Linked DNA regions of Arabidopsis thaliana. The protein of the gene in region 1 interacts with the protein of each later gene in a pairwise test. Each region holds a gene or a part of one and is shown on either strand. Other genes may lie near its edges. The genes, in order: HUB1, AHG1 and UBC1.

Region 1 (8,303 bases):
GTCATCCCTCTCTGTAACTTGAAGCAAAAGCTGTTGGTTTTGCGGTACAATGTCCTCATAGGCACTTCCAATTGTCTAAAAGAATATAGTTACTGTAAATCGATACGCAACATCAAGGTTTTTAAAATATGTTAAGAACAAAGAAACACGAAATTTCATAAGCCAACCTGTATTTCAGAAAGATATGTTCCATGTTCTTCATGTTTAGATTTCAAGATATCAGAATGCTTGGCGACATCCCTGAAACAGAAAAGACTTATCCTTGTCAAACAAAAAACTCTCAAAGAATTCCTATGGAAGAACTGCGTGATTGCATCTATAAATTGCAGACTTCTACTTATACTTATTTACCTTTTACAATCATCCATTTTCTGCCTTAAATCAGCAATCTCTGCTTCCGCAGCAGCCAACATTTGTTGGGAAACGGCTTCAGCTTCATTTGCTGCCTTAACGCGCAACTCCAGATTTTGCTCATCAAGGGATGATTTCAAACTCTGAACATGAGCCCAAGCCCTGTACTCCTGTTCCTTGGCTTCAGCTATGTCCCTGCCATAGCACATTATCGACAGTGATGCTTAAGGCAATATACCAACCGCATTATAATAATGTGTTCAGTCAAGATAAGAAGATAAACAAATCCTAACACATCCAAAAGAGTTTTTATCAGATGGAACTGTAAAAATAGATCAGATATTAAAAGCTGTCATGGATAAATTGAAAATGTGAACATAAGTTTCTTCAGAAACGCAAGAAAAATTAACAACAAACTTTCAGCAAGATTCGATAGTTCAGTCAGAAGGCAAGATTAATAACAGCACTTGTTGTTATACTATATATTTGGACAGTGAGAAGGGGAAGATAAGGAAACTTTTCTCTAAGAATTGAAATCTTAGATATCGTTATATATAGTTGTGCTTACCTCGCATCAGTGGACTCACGTTTATACATGTCCAGAAACAACTTTAACTCCTCATGACTGTTCTTCAAATCACAAACCTGCATGACAGACTCCAATCAATTGAAAGTAAAGAACATAACAACTACCACTTTGCCAACCAAAGACATTTAACAAGATTTAAATTGCTAATCCGCCTTTTCACTATACTTTTTCCAAGAAATAATGCAAAGTAACAATAACCAATATGAACACTGTCAACATATATAAGTCATGGGCAGTACACTGAAAAAGGTAGATACATTGCATCATACCGTAGCATTCAGGTCACCTAACTGAGAAGCATAATCAGCTGATCTCAATTGCAATGCTTCATACTCTTTTGTCTGTTCACCAATTAAGCTTATTAAGTAAGCATAACATAAACTGTAACAATAAGCATCAATCACTGTTCACATTATTTCCCACCTTCCTACATAGAACCCCAGAGAGGGACTGGACATCAGCCCGCAGAGAATGAATACCTCCAGCAGTCTCTTTATAATTGTTTAATTGACTACGCATGGAACTCATTTCCTCGGGGAACGAAGAAATTAATGCCTTCATATCTGCAAAGATTTCTTTTCTACCTGACATACGAATAACTTAATCAGACTCCAAAGTGAAACAGGTGTGGGTGGGAGATACAGAATTGGAAGTCAAAGTAATCAATTTGTGACCTCGCTCTCTTGATATATTTCCCAGCCTAGTCTTGATTCGCATTTTTTCATCCAGTTGTTTCTGTATCTCCGAATCCAAAGAAGCCATTCTAGAATCAGTAACAGCAGACGTCTTTCGAGAAACATCACCTAGTTCATTTTTTATATTTATCTCCCTTTCCTTCCAGACTATACTATCTTTTTCAACCTGAAATTTTCGAATGGAGGAAAGCTTCACAACTAAATATACAACGTAAATTTTATAAACATAGATACAAAATGAAAATCGCAAACCAGATATAACCTGCAGTTTCTCAAGTAAAGCCATATACTGGAAAACTGCTTCTTTGGATTTTTCTAGCTGGTCTTTCAAAGAAAGGCAGGCTTGAGAAGATGAGATGCACCTCACAGACTTTGACTTGTTCTGTTAGAAAACTCTTACATCAGTTTTAGCAATAGGAAGAGGCTACCATTCCACAAATTTTCATATATCAAACCCCATACAGAGACAAACTAATACAAATACCCCAATTGGATCAATACACTGACCTGTAAATTACTCATTTTTCCAAGCATCTTTGTCCTCTCCTCATGAAGATTTTTTAGCTGTTGTAGCCTGCCTGAAGCCAGGACCTACCGAAACCAGGCCGTTATCAACCCAAAACTTAAAGAATTACCAATGAAAACAAATCAGAAAAACAAAGATACCGTTAACTCTTTCAGAACTGTTTCCATGTCTTGCAGATCCCTTTGTTTATCCCTCTCCCGATCACTGGTAGCAAGCTTATTTCCAAGACTCAACACTGGGAAAAACGCCCCAGCTGTTGCATCCCTTTCTGCTCTCAATGCTGACAAGTCACCATTACACTGCTGAAGCTCCACAACCTCATCCTCTAGCTCCCCTTCGAATAGACCAAATAAAGTATAATATCAGTTGATGCGGTAGTCAAGAAGCATTAATCCAAAAGCAGGCATGTAAACTAAAATAAATTTTAACTCTTTGAATTTCTTAACTGTGGCTACTGTCAGTATTGAAATCTTACATCTTAAGGTAAACGGGTAATTTATCAACAAAATTAAGATGCTTCACTTATGTGGATGTATGTCATTCTCAAAGAATTACCAGCTTCTCTATCTCCTAAAATCTACCGAAATATATAAATATGGGTAAATGGTATAAAAGAAAACTAAGAAGTTCATGTCTCAGAAGGGTTTTGTACACCCATCAGTTCGCTAATGAGTATATCTTCCACAGCTACATGTCTTCTTAACAGCTGGCTCTACCATAGAGGTTTTCTTCCAGTCTTAATGTATCTCTCTCTTCAATCTTAATCTCTATGATCTAAATCCAATCATGGCTATTAAACAACTGAGTAGTGCTGGACATAAATACACAGGCGTGGAATTGGAAGATTCACAATTTGATCACCTCTACTTACACTTATCCTCATCAATCAAAAGCGAGATATGATTTCAGTAGCTTTTCATGTATATAGGACCTTTTTTTGTCAAGCCACGTATATGATTACAAATTTACATTTGATGCATGAATACTATATCCATATAAACAATGCCAATTAAAAAATCCATTTTAACAGTATATAGTCGAGTGAGACGAGACTAAGTAGCTACCTCTTATTCGTTTGAGGTCTACTCTAACTTTAGCATCAGCATCGCGATGACTCTGCAATTCTCTAGAAAGTGATTTGAACTTCACAAGTACATCATCTAGATCCCCTCTGAAACTTTTAATTTCTGATTCCAACTCACTCAGAGCTAGCTGACCGCACAAATCTAGAAAAGAAAGCAATTCCACATAGGACCTGGGTTAATACTAAAATGTTATAAAGGCCATAACAAGAGCTGACAATTGATCGCAGTGGAAGTCATACCTTTACCAAGATTGGTTCTGAGAACTGTGGGATATAATTCATCCTTCAGACACCTCAAATCCTCTGTCGCGGCTACTAGATTATACAAGGTTTGCGTCATCTGGCTTGACGTATTCACTCCATTTTCTTCCATCTGATTCGAGCAGATATTGGATGAGGAGCTCTCAGTAGCACCAGTTTCAAGTAGCCGGTTGATGAAATCGTTTTTCACGGCTGGAGAAGACCCATCTGTGTAGCAATTTAAAGTTAACCTTTCAAAAAGTCATATTTGTAACATATAAAACCAAATCTAAACTAGATCCTAGCACTAACAGAACGAAGAAAAGGCGGGCTTAAGTTGTTCATACCCTCCTTGTTTACAAACCTATGAGCTCCGCTGCTTGAATCACTCACACGAACAGAGCATGATTCCACTGAAGCTGTAAGCTGCTATACAAGCATTAATTAGTTCTCTAGAAAAAGAGATCTAATCCAAGTTCTATTAGAATCGAAAGCAAATTCAGTGTTACCTTTTCCCAAGACTTATGGACAGTCTTCAAACTGGAGTTGTATGGTAATTGTTTTTCCTTGATCTGAGAGAGTTTATCCTCAAGAATAGAACACTCAACCTGCTGAGCCTCTAGCTTTTGTGATAGCTTAAGATTTTGGAACTGAAGAACTGCAGTATCAAGCTGTATCAAACGAAAACAAACTCCTTAAGAGAGAGAATCCCAATTCCAAAATAGACCAAATTCGAGACAAAAGACATTCAGTATATGAATCTCTAATAGCTGGAAAGCTATGATTGATTGGATAAGTAAGAGAATAGATGTAAAGGGCATGCACAAGGGGGAGATGAAGAAGAAAGAAACCTTGTCCTCGGAGGAGGGCCAAAAGAAAGGCTGTTTCTTTACGGCGGCTGCAGCTTCAGAAGGTGATATGGAGCTAAAGTGACGCCTTTTACGGTCAGGCTCGCCTGTGCTCGCCATTGAAAAACCCTAGAATCGCCAATTAACAGGATTAAGCCTTGTCTCACATCACCATCAGATTGAGTTTGAGGAAGCTCGAATACAAATCCCCCAAACCCAATGAGAAAACCCTAAACGATCCAAAGCTACGTGATTGCTTTAACCGAGGTAATTCCAATTGCTCCGCAGCTCTCCTTCGGAATAAAAAAAAACAAACAAAAAGAAACCCTAATCTCACAGGTCTTCCAAATTCGATCAGACTCTAATGCTATCAAACGCAAACAGACTTTGTCTGATCTTTGTGCGACTTAGATATTACAAACCGAGAACACACACAGCACTCACAGAAACAAAAACAAGAGTGAAAAGAAAGAGAGAGAGAAGAGAGAGTTGAAGTTAATTCGAGTACGATGGCGTAATTTTGTGAACATCTGGAGGGCACTTTCGGGAATTACATATTCCACTTACAGTATATAAGCATCGGCCGTCCATAGAATCTCCAACGATCCGAGCCGCACGATCACGGTTCGTTAAAGGAATAGAGAGAAAAACATAACTAATCTTCTAATAAAAATTAATCAACAATAAAAGAAAAAAAAAGAAGCAAATTAAGTAGTCTTATAAATATAAAATCTACCGTTTGTAATAATTTTTTTGTTATCGTGTGATTCAAACCTGATAGTAAATTAGTAAGAAATAAAACAAAAAGATAGAAACAAATACAGTAATTTGAAGTCTCAAGACGAAAGTAGAAATAAAACAATTTGGTTTATCAATCGATTTTTGTTGCGAGTTTTTGTTGCCTCTCTTGCTCAACTTGGACAAGCAAAGTTAAGAGCGCTTCACAAACTTGAGCAGCATCAGCTTCTAAAGGAACCTCGTTCAAGGAAGAGTACACCATCCAGGCATGGTCTAGTTTACGTTTGGGTCTAACAACCACAGAACCAGGAACCTCTGCGTCACAGCAAGTCACTAGCCCGTCACTCTTTTCACCGTATCTGACTTGAAGTAGCTGAGCGCAAGCAGCCATTGCAGCACCAAGTGGCATTACCACTGGCAGTTTTGCGGCTTGGTTTGTCAGAGGAAGTTCAGCGTGTGCTACGTGTGATAAAGTGGATAGAACCGCTGGGCTAATGCTAGCTTCTGTGCGGAATGAAACCGTGGGGAGTTCTCGGGGAAGCGGATGATTCTTCAAGAATTCTTTTCTTCTCTCGTATGTTAAATCTTCCAATGCTTGAATGTCACCCTTCACAATGTTCCAAGGAATTCATCAGAAAGATCAGCAGAGCAATAGAATCCAGAAACAAAATAAGTTTTGGTTTATCCCTAGTTTCTCGGTTCCACCTAACTAAGGATTTTAACAGGCAATCACAAGAAGCTGATATAATGCAACTGAAATGACTTTGTTAGATCAGGAATGTTGCAAACCTTTATGACTTTGGAGATTAGAATCTCCATCATCTTTCTCAAATTGACGTAATCACCTAGTTGTCCTTCACGGAGGATATCTGTAGCTATTGGGCTTCCACCATATGGACTCTGCGCCAGTACCAACCCAGCGACCTTATCCTTTAGTTCAGGCCAGTATAGTGATAAAGCAGCAGCTGCATCTATGCCTCCTTTGCTATGCCCAAGAAGTAGAACCCGCTTATTAGATCCCCAACAGAGTTCCTCTATGTATTCCTTTATCTCTCTCGCATTTTTCTCAACCGAGGACTGATATATAAACATTTCTCCATATATTAGTATGCTATACACCAAATGTAACTGTACTAAGTTGAGTTAGTTATGATTACCTCGCTGTGAATCTTCGCAATATGACACGCCAAACCCATCTTTGAGAATTTCGTTTTCGTATCCACAAAATATAGAGGTCCATGATTGCTGAAAAGACCTAAAAAAAATTCAACTAATTTTGAGAGTCCTAATATACAGTAATGTAGTTTAAGTGGCTGGCAGCAAAGAATAAGAATTGCTACCTGGAACCAATAAGTACACCACTGTATTTGGAAGCCTGTGTACACCATGCCTGGATATAAAAACCAGATCAACGCAGCCATTTAGTAAAAAACAGGATGTTAAACAGCATATTGAAAAGGCCACAAAGCACACAAAACATGCAACTACAACCAATTCATACCCGATGTCTTCCAGAATTTTATTGAACCTATCAGTTCCATCTTCAACAGGAGGCATCTCCGGGGCACGCTGTAACCATCCTATGTCATCTGCCGAGCCACGAACAGTCCTCCGTGCCCGCTCAATGAGCCTGATTGAATTAAAATAGATCAATCACCCAAATGCTGAAAACTTGACAAGAAGTAGTAGTGTATAGAGATTATTGTATTGCTTCAGTTTCACATATTCATAGTATTAAGATTTTACATATCTACTAGTATGGGGAATTTGTATCTGTAATACAAAGTACACGTACCCTTGGAACATTGAAATTCCATTTAAATTTAACCGATTCGAAGTCACTATTGCATTTGTTGCCTGTGGCAGAATCTCTGTAGATTCCCTCGACGGGCTGTTGGCATCAGATGTAGATGCCTCTGAAGAAGTTGAAAACCTTTCACCAGGCGAAATGCATACACTCACTGGGGAATTCCCGTCAACTCCGGAAGTTGATCGTAACAACTCATGGGGGTGGGAAATAGTATCCTTGCCACCATATTCTACTGAAGAAAGCATTGAAAGAACAGATGCTAAGCAAAGCCTGAATTATGTTACGGTGACGATAAGATCCTAACACCATAAATATCTGCTAAGCATATTTTCCATAAGTAAAGCCTAGCATATGAACGTGGAATTGCATACTGAGTACGACATCAACAGATAGAAAGAAAGGGTACCTGAATAGTCAGAAAAACAGCTCCCTAAGTAAGACGTTGCTTGAGTTATATAAGAAGCAGCTTCATTAAGAGCTGGTAAAGAATTAAACACTTGTGGTGCAACCGCATTGTCCCCATTACCACCGCCCTGGCCATGGAAAAATTACTGATATTAGAATGGTAGTCTCAATGCATAAAGAACCAAAAATTACGAATATCCTCTTTAACCCCATTTTAATCAACTTATATGTTTCCGTTGATATAGAAACCAAGAGAACGTTAAGTTGACTCCAAACAGAATTCCATTAAGATGAGAGCATAAAGCAAGTATAGTTTCTGAAAGTATTATCTAAAAAGTGAGAAAAGGAAGCCACAATACTTACAACAAGAGGCGTGACAGATTCTCCGTCTCTGGATTGACCAGCTTCTCCCATTTTGATCAATTTCTAACAACATAAACAAACACACAATCAAATATAAAATCCTTCATATATTCATGCCAATGAACAACAAGTAAAGAAGAATTACAAAGACTAAGCCTATGAAATGATAGCTTTTCCAAATAGCAATTTCAAAATTTTAAGCTTCCATGTTTCTTCTAAAAATTTCGGAAAGCACCGATTTTAAACTGATTAACGAAGGTTGCTTAACATGTCAAAATACCAAATCCATAAAAAATAGAAAAGAAGACGTGAAAAAAAGAAATCCAGCGGGAAGAGTCTCGAATCCGGTTAATGAAACGGCAAACAACATTAGGAATTGATAACATGCAAGTGAAAACACAGACGCTCTCAATTTTTGCATTGATGACAAATAAACAACAAAGTTGATGACCGGATCCAAAAATCGGCAACAAGTTTGGGAAGAACGGATTGAGGAAGAAGAATCAACTAATCAGAATTCGGGAAACGTAGAAAAGGTACCTGGAGCTTTAGGAATGTGGGATCAAAACGAAACATAGACACAAGGAGACAGTTTCTTCAACGATTCGGATCATATTGTCCTAAGCCGCGGGGAAAAGAAACCTCGTGAAGAAA
Region 2 (8,303 bases), on another chromosome or scaffold:
ATGTAATGAGATTATGAGAGCGTATAATTAAAGAGTATAATTTCACATGGGTCATTAGGATAGAAGTTATTAAGAATATTAATTTGGAGTTTTCTTATTAAATAGCTAAACAATGATGTGTTATGCTAAACTTTTATAGAATTTGATCAAATGAAGAGTATTTTTTAAAAAAAGAAATGCATTATAGGACTGACAAACCTGCGAAAATTTTGGTTCGGTTAAAGAATGTAGTGACTAGTGAGTGAACACAAACATATGGTTTTGGGGATTATTTGGATTGCATACACTTTGTTCAAAACATCTAACAAATTTAAAAGGAAAATGTGAGAGTATCTATCTAAAATCACAAATCAAGAGGTAAAGTATCAAAGTGTGTGGGAGATGAGAGAAGAACTACATGGGAAGAATTAGATTTTGGTATTAGATTACACCCTTAGAAAGTTAGAATATCTAGCCTGAATGTGTTGGTTTAACTATATCACGTTAGGTAGGGAATTAGACCACAAAAGAGATTGGTTAGATTTTCTTTTGACAATTTATAACTTTAGTTGTTAATTTAGATTGACATTTAAGCAAAGGCACTTACTAATATCCAGCATCCGAGTCCATTAATAATAATAAACAAAAATAGAGGGTAAAGATAAATTCCCAAGTCTTCAAATTCATTTAAAATTTGTGGCAAAAGAAACTTTTCTGATTTAGTAAAAATTTATTAGAAGAAGGTTAAGAAAGGGAGGGAAATGTAGTAGATTTTCTGGTTTGGTAGTTTAAACAAAATACAAAGAATATATACACAAAAGAAAAAAGTGGAGAAAAAAAAAAAGATTCTTGATTCTCACTCTCTTTTGTGGTCCAAACTTGAAACTAAACAAGACGTAGAGAGAAGCTAAAAGGCCCACAAACACAATTATGATTCAAAGAAAAGTGCGACACAAACACTGAGACGATAATGACCCAAAAAGAAAAGAACAAAAAGTAATGTAAGAATTATTCATGAGAACATTCTCCATCTCACGCTTTTTGTTTTACTTCAAAGACAATTCTTGATTCTTGATCTCCCTTTTATTTAGGACCAAAACTCTGTATTCGTCAAACCTGTTCGAATTGTTCCATTTCCATCGAACTATAAGAGTTGTCTTTTTGTCTCTCTTTCTTGAATTGTTCTCTTTGATTCTTTTGCACATCTCTTTTTTTTTTCCTTTAAAGCCTAAAGAGTAAAGACAATCTGGTAATTGGCCCAAAAGCCTATATAGCATTGTTGAACCAAATATAAAACTGCACGGTTGAGTAGGGTTAGGGCTGGTTCAAAATCTCAGCCTTAAATTCACTTCATTCAGGTTGTACCAAAATGTAAGTATTTGTAGACAGAGATGACTTTAACCATTGGAAATGATCAGTCCATCAAAAAAATATAAAAGACCAAGACCGGCGTCTAATGAACTACAACGAACAAAACCAAAGCAGTACTACGTTTTTATTTTATCTATTTATTTCACACATACCACCTAAATAGCTAAACGATCAATAACTTCAAAATGATCACACACATACAACAAACAAAATTAGAGAACAAATTCTCTCAAGTTAACTTTTATTTTATTGTTTAAACCACTAAATACCCTTAATAGCCCATGGCCAAACCACTAAATAACCTTGTAGCCCATATCCAAACAACTCTCTTTTCCTTTCACATTCGCCGGTGTTAATGTGTATTGGTAACCCCAATTCATAACAAAACAAAGACGGGCGCTAAACCCTAAAACTAATTAAGGCTCATCGCTATATCAACATCTTATTCTTTGGTTTAACCACTTAATTGCACAACCACCAAAAAAAGGATCCAAAACTAGTTTTACTGAGAGCTATTCTTGAGATCAATGACGACCACACTTATATTATCACTGCTTTGTCTACCCAAAGCCAACCGCGTTAGCAACGTTGCAGCCAATACACTCCTTGAAGGATTTTGTTCTCCGTCATTGTCGTCTTCTTGAGCCATTCTATTTAAATCAAGGCTCGAGGGAGTTTCTTCGCGGAGACAAAACCTAGCTATGTCACAAGCTAGCTGACTCGAGAGTACATCCCAAAGCCCATCGCTTGCTAATACTAAGCATTCATCTCCAGATTCCCTTCTCATGAATGTTACTTCTGGTTCCCATGCTACCATTGGTTTTAGATACCTGTCCCCTGCTCCATGAATTGTAACACAACATTAGGAACAATTTCCATACTAAAACTTCATGTTTAGTCTAATAAATTGTATAACCGAAATAAATTTTAAGTTGGTTAAATGATCAAACAATGAAAGATACAAAGATAAGACACATTTAAATACTTTTGAAGTTAAGAAAAATACTTCTCCCGTTCTAATCCATGAGATGGTTTGTATGAATGCCCACATTTTTTATTTTCGTAAAATGATTCAATTATTTTTGTTTTCTAGTTAATGCTGCAAATATAATTTTTTTTGTTTTTTTTTTTTTTTGTCAAATGTTAAACTATTAGGACCAATGTAAAATTTCTAGTTAACATTTTGACAAAAAAAAGAGAGTAAAATTTACATATTTTTTTTTTAAAGGAACAATTATAAAACATCTTTGAAAATAGAATTAGAATTAATCAACAAAAGAACTCGCACCAAATGAAACCAATCCATAGTACCTTAGTTAGTAAACTTAAAACCCTAAACCCCAAATCCGAAATGATTATTATTGCCCTTATAGGCTCTAGTTCCTTGCCATCTTCAACACTATCAACTAAAATCATCTTTTACTACAATATGAGAATTGAGAAAGGTATACCTATGGCTCTGGACGTGGCTAGAATTCCTTCAACTCTAGCTCCATCCACTACTAAAACTCGACCACCAGCTGCTTCAATCCTCGCACGCTCGTCTGGTCTATCCGGCTGCAAAAAACTCAACAACTTCAAAATAGAAACTCCAATATTCTCAAACCTTTACAAGAACACCACCTTGTGATCGTTACTCAGAGGAATAGCCATTCCATTTCGACACAACACCGCACGTGAGTCACCAGTATTGGCTACAATAATATGATCGTGCGTCAAAACCGCAGTGACCGCCGTTGAACCCGAAATCGCAGCCTCCCTCGGATCACAGTTACACAACGGCACACTAGTCCCACACACGCATGTACTCGTTGCCATCTCATCCATCCTCTTGAAACTCCGTTTCATCACGCCCCGCCATTTCCTCTCCACGACATCGTTTTCGCTTCCTTCTTCCTCCTCTTCGAGGTTTTGCTCTAGCTCCTCCTTGACAAACGTGTGCATAGTCGTGCTGCACAATGTTGACACCTGTCCACGCATCACATCAGCATCTTTATATTAAATGACCAAACCACCCCTGGTTAATTTTCTTACCTGAGAACCGCCGTGGCCATCGTATACCGCAAAGAAATGAACCGGTCTTTGCCGGTTAACTTCCGGTTTGCACAAATTCGGTTTAACAGTAACCGAATCCTCCATCTTACGAGATCTTCCCATAACCGAAACTATACCGTACAACGGCTCATCCTCCGTTTCTTCTCCCTTCCACACCGGCGCTTCCGATTTTTGGCAAGAAGATGCCGCCGGAGGTGCCAAAAAGCCCCCGATATCCGCCGGAAGACCACCGATCTCTGACCTCCGAGCTTGTTTCCTCAATGGAACGTCAAAACTTGAGTAAACTTCCATGTCCGTCCGATCACGATTCCTAGACGAACTAGGTTCGCCGAAAACCGCCGCTTGTCTCCGCATCTCAATTCTCCGACGACGACGTTCACGGCATTTAGTCGGAGAAACGTCGTCTCCACGTCCGGTTGAAATTGTTCTGTAGATTTCAGTCATCTTTTCAAAATTCGTTTCGGTGGATCAAGAGAGCACCGCTTTATATACATGGGGCCGAGAGAAAGAGAGAACACTTTGAACATAAAGAAGCTTACGAGGAAGACAGAACACGTGTCGGTGTTTCGATGTATTCGCGTGTTAGGCTCAGGTGTTAAGTTGTTGTCCACGTGGAGACGCCTTCGGTTTTTGTTAAACCGCATCCGGTTTTGGGTTCATGACGATAGTCGTTTAGCTAGGCTCTTGTGTCTTAACTCCTTTCTTCTTCTCCTTGCTTGAATTTGAACCCATGAGCCGGAGCTGATCTCTCAAACCATGTGAACTACAAGGATCAGGCTGGTTCTGGACTAATTCATCAAATATTATAGAAAATGAAAAACTCATGATATACGAAATATTGCATCTTGTTTCCTTTTGCTTTCAATATGAAAACATTAATGTCAAAACAATGACTATAAATGTAACAATATTGAAAAGGTTTATATCAATTTTCTTATTTTTAAAAAGAATTAAATTTTGAAAACCATCTTTTTGAAAAGTGAAAACAAACAATTTCTACTATATTAAATCTGGAATAACATTTACTGATCGTTCCAAATCTCGAGTAGTATTTTCTATAAAACCTGAACGGTAAGTATACTTAAACCAAATCATGGGATTAACCATAACGTTGGAGATATCTTCGGAGAAAAAGGTTGACGAATCGTCAATCGTCACTAGTCACTCTTTTTCGGTGCAACACATGTCACATAGTGATCATCTACAACTTCTCGATTCCTCAGGTTGAGCGACTTGTACCAATTAAACACGTAGCATAGTTATGCCAGTTTAGTCCATCAGTGCCATATGCCTTTTATTCTTTATTTGGTTTCCTACAAATGAAGAAAAACGGCGATATATGTATATTTTATGCTAACAGATTTGATTTGTAATTAATGTCTACTCAAATAAGCAACTGTACAAGATACAAAGAATCATATCATTATTTATTCAAATACTCAAGATCTACGAAAACCGTAATAAATGTTTACAAACTGTCTTTGAAATATATTAAAGTGGGTGAACTGAAATATGTGGATCGATCAATCCTAATATTTTGCTATATTGATGAGAATTAATACGAGTCGAATAGATCATAACAGTTAGGGTGGTTCTCTCTACATGAATGATATGGTTTAGCTAAAAACTAAAACAAACAAAATATTAAGCTAATATAAATGTGTAAGTTATCTAAAAGGAAGATAATAATGAAAAAGCTTGTCTAAAATTCTTAAAAAATGATTCAAACACACTTTACCTTAAATTTGTGATTAGTTGGGACTGGGATATAGTTTTAATCATTGGTGGGTTGGGTGGTTAGTTTTAGGTTTTAATGATTGAAAACTTAACTTGCCGATATAGTGATTTTGTTTTTTTTTTTATGTGAAGAAAATAAAAACTAGTGAGCTTAATTTCAATCCCTGGCTGTTTTAGTAGGTTATTATATATAAACCATATATGATAGAAATGTTATCTTCGTACATCAATGTTTGTTTAAATTGTTTATTCAGTTTTTTATGATCTTCTTGCGGAAATTTGGTTTAATAATTTTGCGTGTGGTTAGAATTACTATATGAAGGGAAGTTGCTTACCAAAAATCCTATGATCAATTCAGAAAAAGTTGGAAAATAATGAGAAAGAATAGTGTTTGTAGTGAAAATACTTTGTGTGGGGTCCAAATCTCCTGCAAAAAGAAACTAATGTGTAGAAGCATGCATGGAAACACCAATAAATTTTTCTGAAGACTCTATGGCACTAAAGTCAGTTAATTTGATCACCAAATATGACTGAAAACTATAAAGAATCGGAGAACAACAAAGAAAATAGGTTTCATTTCATGGCATGGAGTCAAGGGAAATATTCATGACATTGTCAATGATTTTAGGCTATATATGTTTCGAAGAAAAATAAGAAAATTGGTATTTTTGATGAAAAAGGAAAGTGAGGAAAAATTGAGTCGAACAAAAAGAAAAGCATCAACTTTGATGAGATAGAATCAAATTATTGAAAGAAGAGTTGTTTTAATATAAAAAAAAAAAAAATTTCCAGACTAATAGAAGATTTTTGTTGACCGGGTAAGTACGGAGAACTCAACTGATGTCACCTAATATTTTGCCATTTGTAGCCGAGAAACGAATCTCCAAATGTAGAGTTATGTAGTTTTATGTCATTTTAGTTGACTCGTTGTAATATTTAGTTAAATAATTAACAGTTTACAAAACATTTAAAAATATTATTTTTAGAATTAGATTTAAAAATAATATAGAAAGATCATAAATAAATTTATAACGCGAATGTTTCAATTGAACATAAATCATTCCAAATGTTTACTAATTAAATTTTGGCACAGTGATTAGAAAAGGATTGATTATATGTTTTTGTTAGCACAAGATAATTGGTTCCCAAAAGACGATTGCTATAATACGGTAGTACTTATACCAACTAACCCATCCAAATTTAAACATAAACAAATGTTTTAAAGTTTACCAACATTTTGTTCTCCGAAAACAATGTTTACAAACTAATTAACTAATAACTAAACTGTAAATTGCCAATGTTTACAATGTTTAAAAACATAAATTTATTCTTCTTAATATAACTCTGAGCACGGAACATTGCCAACAATTATAGTTTTGTATTAGTCTATATTTACAGAAGCTAAATAAATTTCTATTTTTCTTGATAAATCGTGATTTTTATGTTCACTCATTTCGGATAGTATCAACAATTTCATAAAGAAAATAAGTAAATTGTGGTGGGGAAATGAGAAACTTATCTTAAAAACATGTAATCCACGTGGTCGTATGGGAGCTTTCTAAGCTGCAAACCCACCGTCCAAGACCTAAATGGAAACCAAGGGGCAAGAGATCACAAGCCTTATTCCAATAACTTGCCGCTTTTGCATCACACATCTCCTTGTTTCTGTTTTGGATTTTCCAAAATAGAAGCTACTCGAAGCTCCCTTTGCTTTATTCTCATCTTCACGATCGACTTACTATTTTTTTTTGTAATATTTGTTCTATGGAATTTTGTTTCTAGGACAAGTATATAAATTGAGATATTTGTCGTTTCTCAAAACAACCTGAAACTTTGGTAAACCAATTTCATGTCAAAGTATATCGATCTAGCTCTAAAACTTATCGTTTCAAACCGTATTAGATATCAAATTTAAACTTTTGATTTTACAAAATTTTTAAAACTGGTCTGGCCGGTATTTTAATTTGTAAGTATTATATATCTACTCTGCAATTTAAATAAAATAAAATGTTTTGGCATGTTCTCTTAAACTACTGGTAAGTACACAGTTTTGATTCATGGTATTGAAATGTAACCGACTTTCTTATTCCTGAGAGTCCATATCTTGAAAGGACAACTTGAAATGGAACATGTACGGCATACAATAAACTATAGGTTGTTTTACTCGTACGCTAAGATTTTTTTTTTTTTTTTTTTTTGTAAAGGCTAAGTTAGTACAAAAATCTAGATATTAATTAAGTAGTATAATTTCGTGACAATATTTCCATGCTACTTAAAATAGTTGGTGGGAATTTAGTTAAAATATGTATACGTAAGGGAACTAATTTGAAATCTCACATATATAGGAAACGAAGTTGACAAAAAAAATGTTTTATAGGAAACGATTTTAATTAGAAAGATAGTAGCAAATAACATATGTTTAAGAAATCATTTTATTTGTTACTAAAATTTGAAAACATATATGCATACATCTATCAACTTATGACTATAATTATAAGTCTCGAGACCTTTTTGTTTAATTTGCACAATAAGGGAATTCTCTGTTCCGAGAATGTAGGAATAAATAACCCTTACCCATCTCGACACTAACATACGTTGTACAAAAACCAAAGAAGACGCATACTACGTTATATCGAGAGGGATATCGATATCTCCACCGTGACGAACTCGTCGTGTTGGCGATGGTGTGGTAACTTCTCGTCTTCTCTTCATCGCCTCTGTTTTGTTGAAACCCTAGAGATCATCACGTCGTATACATAGTGTAAGGTTTAGTTGACTTAATTGGGCTTACTAATAAAAATAAGCCCAAGTTTGTTTTAAAGCAACAGAAGAATTATCATTGGTTTTGACAAATTCAATTGTCTTCTGTTAAGCGTTATCATTGTGACAAAAGAAGAACATATGGTTGTTTTATAAATGCCAAAGCATTGATCTAGAGAATAGCTCCCATTACATAAGGAATTTTTATTTGTGGAACTAAAAACATTAGGATTGCTCAAACATTGGTTGTTGTTCTACAGAGGAGGCAACCATGTGATGATAACCGGGCTACGAACTTTATGTGTAGTGCTCTTCCACACTAGACCACCAAACTCAGGCCTCTTCATCCGGAACCTTGTCCTGAAAGTAACCGTGTAGGAAAGCTTCTGGTGCTTCGAAGT
Region 3 (8,303 bases), on another chromosome or scaffold:
AGTTCCTCTAAAAGCCAGGCCTTTTCTCTCACTTTTCTTCTCTTTCTTTTTCTTCTGCCATCAGTCTCAGAATCACAGCTAATATCAAGTGAATCAAGAACTCTATTAGAAATCCAAAAGCATTTACAATATCCACCAACTCTTCGATCATGGAGCAACTGGACCAATTTCTGCTACCTCCCTTCTTCTCCTTCTTTCAAAATCCTCTGTTTCAATGGTCATGTAACTGAATTAACCGTCACGGGGAACAGAACCGTTAAGCTCCCCGGAAGATTCTCAAGCGACTCACTATTCACTGTTCTTACAAAACTCTCAAACTTAAAGACATTGTCTCTGGTCTCTCTTGGCATCTCTGGTCCTCTCCCTTCACAGATCATCAGGTTATCTTCATCTCTTCAATCTCTGAATCTCAGTTCTAATTTCATCTCTGGGAATATTCCTAAAGAGATCTCGTCGTTGAAGAATCTGAGAAGTCTTGTTCTAGCGAACAATTTGTTTAACGGAAGTGTTCCTGATCTCAGAGGATTGTCGAATCTTCAAGAGCTGAATTTAGGCGGTAATAAACTCGGTCCTGAAGTTGTTCCTTCACTTGCAAGTAACTTGATTACTATTTCATTGAAGAACAACTCTTTTGGATCAAAGATTCCAGAACAGATCAAGAAGCTGAATAAGCTTCAGAGCTTAGATCTTTCCTCCAACAAGTTCACTGGCTCAATCCCAAGATTCCTGCTTTCGCTTCCTTCGCTTCAGAATCTAAGTTTAGCACAAAACTTGCTGAGTGGATCACTTCCAAATTCATCGTTGTGCAACTCCAAGCTTAGAATTTTAGATGTTTCTCGGAATCTTCTGACTGGGAAGCTTCCATCTTGCTTCTCTTCCAAGAAACAGACAGTACTGCTCTTCACATTCAATTGCTTGTCTATAAATGGTTCTCCTTCTGCAAAGTATCAGCGTCCAGTTACCTTCTGTGAAAACGAAGCAAAGCAAGCAGTAGCTGCTGTGAAGTCTGACACTAAAGATAAAGAAAGGAAAGAAGAAGATACAGGAATCGAACTTGGATTGGTGATTGGCATTATCATCGGTGTGATCCTCGTTTCAGCGGTTTTAGCTGGCTTGGTTTTGGTTAGGATGAGAAAATCAAGATCAAAAGAAGAGCCTTTGGAAGCAAACAACGTCGATCAGGTCACTGTTTGCAGCAACACCACCAGGTCCACCACATCAAAGACAGTACCAGATCTAAGTAGGCTATTACTTTGAAATCTTGAATCAAGTTTTCACACCCATTAACCTAACTAGCTTGATTTTTTCAAATGCAGGACGTGTACCGCAAACCATGAGATCCGCGGTGATTGGACTATCACCATACCGAGTTTTCTCTTTGGAGGAACTGGAAGAAGCAACCAACAATTTTGATGCAGAGAATCTCTGTGGAGAACAGGTAAAGGAAAATGTAAATAAGACATGATTTAAAATTGATCCGAGTGTCTAACTAATCGATATATCTAATTTCAAAACAGCTGTACAAAGGTTGTCTTAGAGAAGGCATAGCAGTGACAGTGAGGTGTATTAAGCTGAAACAGAAGAATTCAACACAGAATTTAGCTCAACAAATGGAAGTTTTATCAAAGCTAAGGCATATGCATTTGGTCAGTGTTCTTGGACACTGCATTGGTACTTATCAAGATCATCATCCTTATGCCGGAAGCACTATTTTCATTGTCCAAGAATATATCTCTAACGGGTCTTTGAGGGATTACCTCACCGGTAATACTTGAAAAAGATTATCGATTTCAAGAACTTATATTTTTGTTGGGAAACTAATTATTTGGAAATGTTTTTGGCAGATTGGAGAAAGAAAGAGGTGTTGAAATGGCCTCAGAGAATGTCGATAGCGATTGGAGTTGCTCGAGGAATACAGTTCTTGCACACAGGAGTGGCACCAGGAATATTTGGGAACAATTTGGAAATAGAGAATGTTTTACTTGATGAAACACTCACTGTAAAACTCAGTGGTTATAGTATTCCTTTACCATCCAAGGTATATAAACAAACCAGATATAATATAATCAGGATATAGCTTCTAATCTTCAGTTTAACCTCTCATGAAATATATAACCTTCTGGGGGAATTTCAGGTTGGAGCGGAGAGCCCTAGTAATGAAGATGGAGAGAAAGAAGATGTGTACCAGTTTGGAGTGATACTAATTCAGATCATCACAGGCAAAGTAATAGCAGCTGCATCTTCAGAGTTGGGGAGCTTGAAGCTTCAGCTGGAGAACAGTTTGAGAGACGAACCATCGGTGTTGCGTAGCTTGGCAGATCCGTGTGTGAGAGGAACATATGCATACGAGTCATTGAGAACCACAGTAGAGTTTGCCATTAACTGTCTTTGTGAAGATCAGAGGAAGCGGCCATCGATAGAGGATGTTGTATGGAATCTGCAGTACACAATTCAAGTGCAACAAGGATGGACAAGCAGTGAGAACCTCGGGCTTGGTGGTTCAGAACTATAGAAGAGAAATATAAAATCACCATCCTTGAAGAACATAGAGAAACTGATCAATGTCAAATTCAAGGCCTATATGAGAATACATAAAGTTGAACCTACTAATACTTAAGGTACTTACGAGTCTCATGTGAAGCTTCAGATTTTGGTGTAGAAATTGGATTAGCGTCACAAAGAAAGCAATGCAATTGTTAAGGCAATGAAAGGGTGTAACAGAAGGATAAGGCCACAAACCCTTAAATAAAATATCGCAACTTTGTGGAATTTGGGTACAAAGTTGTTTTTTGTAGCTAGCAAGTAAATCGTAATACATATATACACAAAAGTGAATAATTCAGATGGTTTGGTACAAAGTTGTTTTTTTAAGGATGTTGGGTTACATCAAAGCATGGAATCACTTAAATAGTTTTGGAAACACAAGACATGAATGAAAAGAGAAGAAAGCTGTTGCTGAATCGTGATTGAGAGAAAGTAGAGAGAGCTACAACGCTTACAACAAACTACTACTAGTCAGCAGTCCAGCTTTGCTCAACAACATCACGCACTCTCCTGTTGTACTCGCGCTTGCTTTCGCTGTACATCCGAGCAGCTTCCGAGTTTGCAGGAGAATTCGGATTAGGGTCACAGAGCAAGGACTGCAATAACAAAGGGAAAAACGGATTAGAGAAGAAGAAAGCAATTCAAGCTTTTAAGGGCATCAAGAGATGTTCATATGGCATTTTGAATTCACCTGGATGGAGGTAAGTATAGCAGCAACATCATAGATTGGACTCCACTGGTTTTGTAGAATGTCCAAGCAGATACTCCCATCTGCATAAACTACACAACGAATAGAGCAGAAGAACGTTAATTGGAGGCAAAAGCTGAACATCAACCAGGTGGATAGAAAATCCAATGTTGTATCTCTATAACTTACTATTAGGATGAAACATCCGTGACACAAACCGAACTGTTGGTGGTTTATTGGGATAATCTTCAGAGAACTGCAGTGAGAGTTTGAAAGTACCTGAACAGCATCAAGAAAGAGACATAAGAACACCACTACAACGATCCCAAAAATTTATGCTTCTTGTCAAAATGCAATAACATATCATAACCATACCTCCATCCCATGGTGTGTCATCAGGCCTACAAATTTAGAAACAAAAAGGTCTAAGTAAGTACAGAAATGACAAAAGTTTCAGAAATATTTAGCCAGTATCTAAAGGTACTTGTTCCCATTACCCAAATATGACAGCATTCCAGAGCATAATGTTGTTGTCCTGTGGAGCACCACTAATACCCGCAGGTGGGTCTTGCTGCAACCTCTTGAAATCCCTCATTAACCTCTTCCTTGCTGGCGTCGACATCCTCCTTTCTTTCTAATAAACAAAACCCACCAAATATTCATCACCTTTTAAGGTCTCGAACCTCTATCAATCTAGAAATTACTACTAACGATTTACGTATGCTAAAGTTGCTAACTTTGTACTAGATTCGAATCTTCCTAACAAGTCTACGACCTATGATTAGCTTAGAAGAAACATATAAGGCTTGAACCTAGAAACAGCTTAAGATCGCATCAATTCACCAAAATAGCCACACACAAATGATAAGATGAAAGTAAAATCAACGGATCCAGTAAACAAACATAGAAGAACAGAGATCGGATGAAAATGGTACCGTGGAAACAGATCTCGTTGTTGAGGTAAAGATCGCGGAGAGAAGAGGTCGTCAAACAAACATATGTGTTCAGCGGTGTTGACCGCCGGTAATCAGAGAAAGTTTTCCGATCGATTCAGGTCGGCGATTCTCAATATCACCGTGCGATGAGAGAAATGGGTAAAAAAAATCAATAATTTGGGAAGAGATCGTATAAGTGATGAATGAATGATCTTCTAGAAGCTTGGCTCCTCTCTGACATATCTGTAAAGTTGGATTCGCTTTGCCCTTTGGACGACCGAGCGAGTGGTTGGTTTGTTCCTAACCGGAATTAAACCGTTTAGGGCAATCTACACTTTAACCGGGAGATTAGTGTTAGTTAACATACAACGATGACATGTAATCTTTTTTATGTAAATCTTCAGATGACAAATTAGAGTACTTTTCTTAATGTAGCGTAAACTATATATTTCTAATAAACCAATATAAACCATTGTACCACTAACCGGACTAAAATCCAGACCCAAACCACAAGAGTAGAGTAGAGTGATGTTTTTGTTACTAGAGAGAAATGTTTTTGTGGTATGTCTTGTTTCTCCAATCTCTCTAGACAAACCAATTCATCTTCAAGCCTCGTCTCAAAGCCTAGGCATTTGGATCATACTAGCTCGTACTCAGACTTCAAATTGAGATTTGCTCTTAAATCAAAAACAACTAAGATCAGACTGATGTTTTGAGATACAACCGCTTACCACGAAATGATATGTGGCTTTTGAACATTTGGTCAAAAGGACGAAAAAATAAACTACTTTTAGTCTCTTCTGCTACCTACGAACATATATCAATCCTGACGAAACCTATCAGCAAAACAAAAAGGGTAGGATGATCTCTGATATATGTTCCTGTTATGGCCCTAAGATTCATCATCTATTCCATTCATAGTCTCCTCCATAGTTAGGCGAAGCGTTGTTCACACGGCTTGTCTCTTCTGGTTTGATGGAGTTTGCAAATGCATGCCAGCCTATAAGGTAAGGCAAGACAAACTTGCAATATAGAAGAAAAAAAGGAGTTTAGTAATGTTTCTTTGAAAGTTCATGCCGGTAATGTTAAAGATGAGATATTTTCTGATCTTACATTGAATGCAGAGATAAGAACAGCAAACTCTGCTCGAGTAATTGGTATGTAAATGCTCTCATCCACATTCACAAGCTTGTTTTGAACACCTAATATATACACGGAGATCGTTAGAGACTATCCTTTTTGACAAGAATCAAGAAGAAGATTAAATTTACTTACTTAGGTTGAAGAAATGACCAGAACCATCTGGGAGAGGCTCAACTTTCAACACTTTCCTTACTTTTCCCTCATCACTACATACAACAAACAAACCGATCAGGAGCAATATAATAAGAATACAACCAATATTATCAGTGTAATGATGCTTTTTACCTTTTCCCCTTGAATGGATCATGGAAGAATTCACAAGATTCCCTCGGGCCTAGGCTAACTAGAGTTCCAATTTCTGTAACAGACAATGAGAACACCTGCAATTTTGACATGAAGCTTTACCAAATTCATAATAGAAAAAAGACTGCCTTTTAACACCAAATCCAGTCAAATGGTCTTAACAAAGTTACAGCTCAAGGATCATCTGAAGTTAAAGAGATAAAACCAAACCTGTTTCTTGCTCCAATCATATTGTCGTACACCAGCAGAAGGAGCAAACTGGAGCAATAAGAAACCATCTTTTGACAACTTGAAAGCTCCAGACTGCAGAAAAACAACAGAAATCAAATGGAAAACTCAAAGCATGATTATTCAGTTAGAGCTCTTTGATCTTTAATTTTGGGATAGAGACTTACGTCTAAAGCCACAAACTCTGGTGCTCTTGGGTCCACTGTTAACGCAGCTTTCCCTTTGTATATCGAATGACCCACGTAAAATCTAGCAGGCAATCCTTCAGCTATCAAATCGAAACAAAGAACACAAGTAAACATCACCTACGAGCTCCATCTATAGATATAAAAAGAGTTCTCTTTTTGGATTTCAAGCTTCAAGGTTACAAATTTCTCGTAATTAAGAGTACCCTTTTGTGTTTTTAAGCTTCCAATTTCTTAATTAAGCAAGCTAAAACCCTAAAGTAACCAAGTGAGATGGCTTACCAGGTGAAGGAGAAGAAGAAGAGTCACCGAACCTCTGCTTCTCGAAGTAATCCGTCTGGCGAGACTTAACCGAGAAGAGCTTCACCGTCTTCGTCGTCGGTTTCAAGGCGAATCCATGCCGTTTCACTGCAAAACCTCCGGTGACGAGTACTGAAGACGAAGAGAGAAAGCGAGGATTGGAGTTGACCGCCATTAGAGGAGTCGATAAGAGTTGCGACATCGCTTTGTGTTTGTTCCCTCTCAGTCAATGTAGTGTGTCTTCTCTGCGAATTACGATGGAGGAGAGAAAAAGGCGCTTCCTTTACACACTCAGAGACTCGAGACTCGAGAGAGATGACGAGACAAAGAAAGTGATAACTTTTCGTTAATTCGTTTCTACAGCTTTATTTCTTCAAAAATTACAAATAGACCCAAATTTTATAAATTTTGTTGGAATATTGAGAGAAAGAAGAAACAGAGTAAGAGATAATATCTCTTCTCCTTAGAGAAGACAAAAGAACGAAAGAGAAACTTTTATTGAACTGAAACTTGTCTATATACATCTGCAGGCACATACAAGGTCGTTTGTCTATGTACCTCTGCATTAATAGGTCTAGAAAACGCTACTACATGCGAAGTTTTCGATTTTAGGACCAACGATTGGCCCGACCAAGTGATAAGACATGAGACAAAATATGTTCCATAGATCTATATACAATTGGACTTGGCTATGCTGTCTCAACAAGAACACTGTTGACACTTGACTTCGAAACCAATTCATATGATTATGCTTTCTGGAATAAATCCATATCTACTGGATTTGTTCTCTGTTATTTCCCAAGTTTGGTCTCTATTCAGTAATTTGATTATTGTCAATGCATATTGTAATATTTGCTTCTTCCATCAACAGTTTGTTGGTCAAATTTTGCAACTCTTCAAGATATTGTTTTGGTCCATATAGCTAATAACATTCGAGACAAGATAAGAGAGCTAATTGATGAAAGTATTACGAGGAGATTGTATAATTAGTATAAAGATCTAAGGTATTTTGATTTTCTCATTTTTCCGTAGAAAAAGGAACCTGGATCCTATTAAGAATAATAATCCGAAAACTGCGCATTATATATGCAGTCTTAGTTACAAAACACCATTCATAGAAAAACATTCTCTTTCGTTTTCTCTCCTCTCTCTCCATATTGTTTTTCTTGAACAACAAGCAAAAACAGGGCAAAAGCTTTGGCTGTTTGTTGGAAGGGGGCAAAATGGTTATGTAATCAGCAAGCTTCACCAAGTTTGCAGCCAAGTACTCCTGCATCCATGGTAAGTTTCCGGACCATCGTTCCCGGTTTAGGTCGAATTGTAAACTTGTTTGGGAGCGGGGTTTTCGGTTTAGAGCTCCACGCATTTGCTTTTCCGGATTGCACAAAATAAGCTCCGTTGAGAAAGTAATCTCCTTCTGATTGCCAATTCCAAGATTTCCATTCACCGTATGGTGTGTACTCTCTTTTTGTAATCTGTTTGGCTTCTTCATTAGGAGGAGCAATGAAACGATTGCCTTGACTAATAATTGTAGGGTTCATGTTCCCACCAATTGCATACATTTCCCAATGTGTGTAGTCATTGTTCACCACATGTATCGTTCCGTATCTGCAACGAGGCATTCTCTGTTCCAATCGCTTACCGAAGTGGTTAAACGCAACCGTTATCTGCATTTTCTTGTCGATCACGTGTTCGTCCCTCGCCCCAAACAACATCACCTGTTCTCTCACAAAATTTAAAACAAGACTCTAAATTAGAGGTCTTGATTGTTTCATATGCAACTTCACATGAGCGAAAACAAAGGAATCTTTTTACCTCTTGGTGGTCGGTGAAATGACTGTTGGAAATAGTTACAGCAGTGGAGCCGTCAATAGCATCGATCATACCATCTGCACATCTTGTCATTGAGACATGGTCGATCCAAATATTGGTTGCTCCAAACAAACTGATTCCATCACCATCACTTTTTGTCCTAAG

What was found.
Region 2: the proteins of HUB1 (region 1) and AHG1 interact in binary tests that used the Arabidopsis thaliana proteins (3 or more experiments, as listed by UniProt).
Region 3: the proteins of HUB1 (region 1) and UBC1 interact in a two-hybrid assay, tested with the Arabidopsis thaliana proteins (one study listed by BioGRID).

What each region holds. Positions count from the first base shown.
Region 1 is NC_003071.7:18,543,795-18,552,097, forward strand, and holds the start of HUB1 (histone mono-ubiquitination 1), read right to left. Parts: upstream 4,859-8,303; 5' UTR 4,454-4,858; coding exon 4,337-4,453; intron 4,157-4,336; coding exon 3,995-4,156; intron 3,912-3,994; coding exon 3,833-3,911; intron 3,714-3,832; coding exon 3,486-3,713; intron 3,388-3,485; coding exon 3,226-3,387; intron 2,496-3,225; coding exon 2,302-2,495; intron 2,227-2,301; coding exon 2,143-2,226; intron 2,018-2,142; coding exon 1,898-2,017; intron 1,802-1,897; coding exon 1,615-1,801; intron 1,525-1,614; coding exon 1,364-1,524; intron 1,282-1,363; coding exon 1,210-1,281; intron 997-1,209; coding exon 920-996; intron 547-919; coding exon 352-546; intron 241-351; coding exon 168-240; intron 76-167; coding exon 1-75. Other genes in the region: AT2G44970 (alpha/beta-Hydrolases superfamily protein), read right to left, coding at 5,205-5,678, 5,861-6,148, 6,229-6,326, 6,412-6,461, 6,573-6,701, 6,867-7,113, 7,288-7,414, 7,650-7,712 and 1 more. UniProt on the Arabidopsis thaliana protein: E3 ubiquitin-protein ligase that monoubiquitinates H2B to form H2BK143ub1. H2BK143ub1 gives a specific tag for epigenetic transcriptional activation and is also prerequisite for H3K4me and maybe H3K79me.
Region 2 is NC_003076.8:21,022,462-21,030,764, reverse strand, and holds AHG1 (Protein phosphatase 2C family protein), read right to left. Parts: upstream 3,891-8,303; 5' UTR 3,850-3,890; coding exon 3,385-3,849; intron 3,319-3,384; coding exon 2,974-3,318; intron 2,908-2,973; coding exon 2,802-2,907; intron 2,188-2,801; coding exon 1,853-2,187; 3' UTR 1,577-1,852; downstream 1-1,576. Other genes in the region: SBT1.3 (subtilase 1.3), read right to left, coding at 8,157-8,303. UniProt on the Arabidopsis thaliana protein: Negative regulator of abscisic acid (ABA) responses during seed germination.
Region 3 is NC_003070.9:4,924,283-4,932,585, forward strand, and holds UBC1 (ubiquitin carrier protein 1), read right to left. Parts: upstream 4,531-8,303; 5' UTR 4,168-4,530; intron 3,867-4,167; 5' UTR 3,855-3,866; coding exon 3,730-3,854; intron 3,634-3,729; coding exon 3,608-3,633; intron 3,512-3,607; coding exon 3,422-3,511; intron 3,325-3,421; coding exon 3,236-3,324; intron 3,141-3,235; coding exon 3,012-3,140; 3' UTR 2,513-3,011; downstream 1-2,512. Other genes in the region: AT1G14390 (Leucine-rich repeat protein kinase family protein), read left to right, coding at 1-1,240, 1,317-1,438, 1,518-1,764, 1,845-2,038, 2,135-2,512; WHY1 (ssDNA-binding transcriptional regulator), read right to left, coding at 5,070-5,189, 5,281-5,369, 5,443-5,516, 5,596-5,690, 5,824-5,916, 6,009-6,109, 6,309-6,528; AT59 (Pectate lyase family protein), read right to left, coding at 7,562-8,044, 8,142-8,303. UniProt on the Arabidopsis thaliana protein: Accepts the ubiquitin from the E1 complex and catalyzes its covalent attachment to other proteins.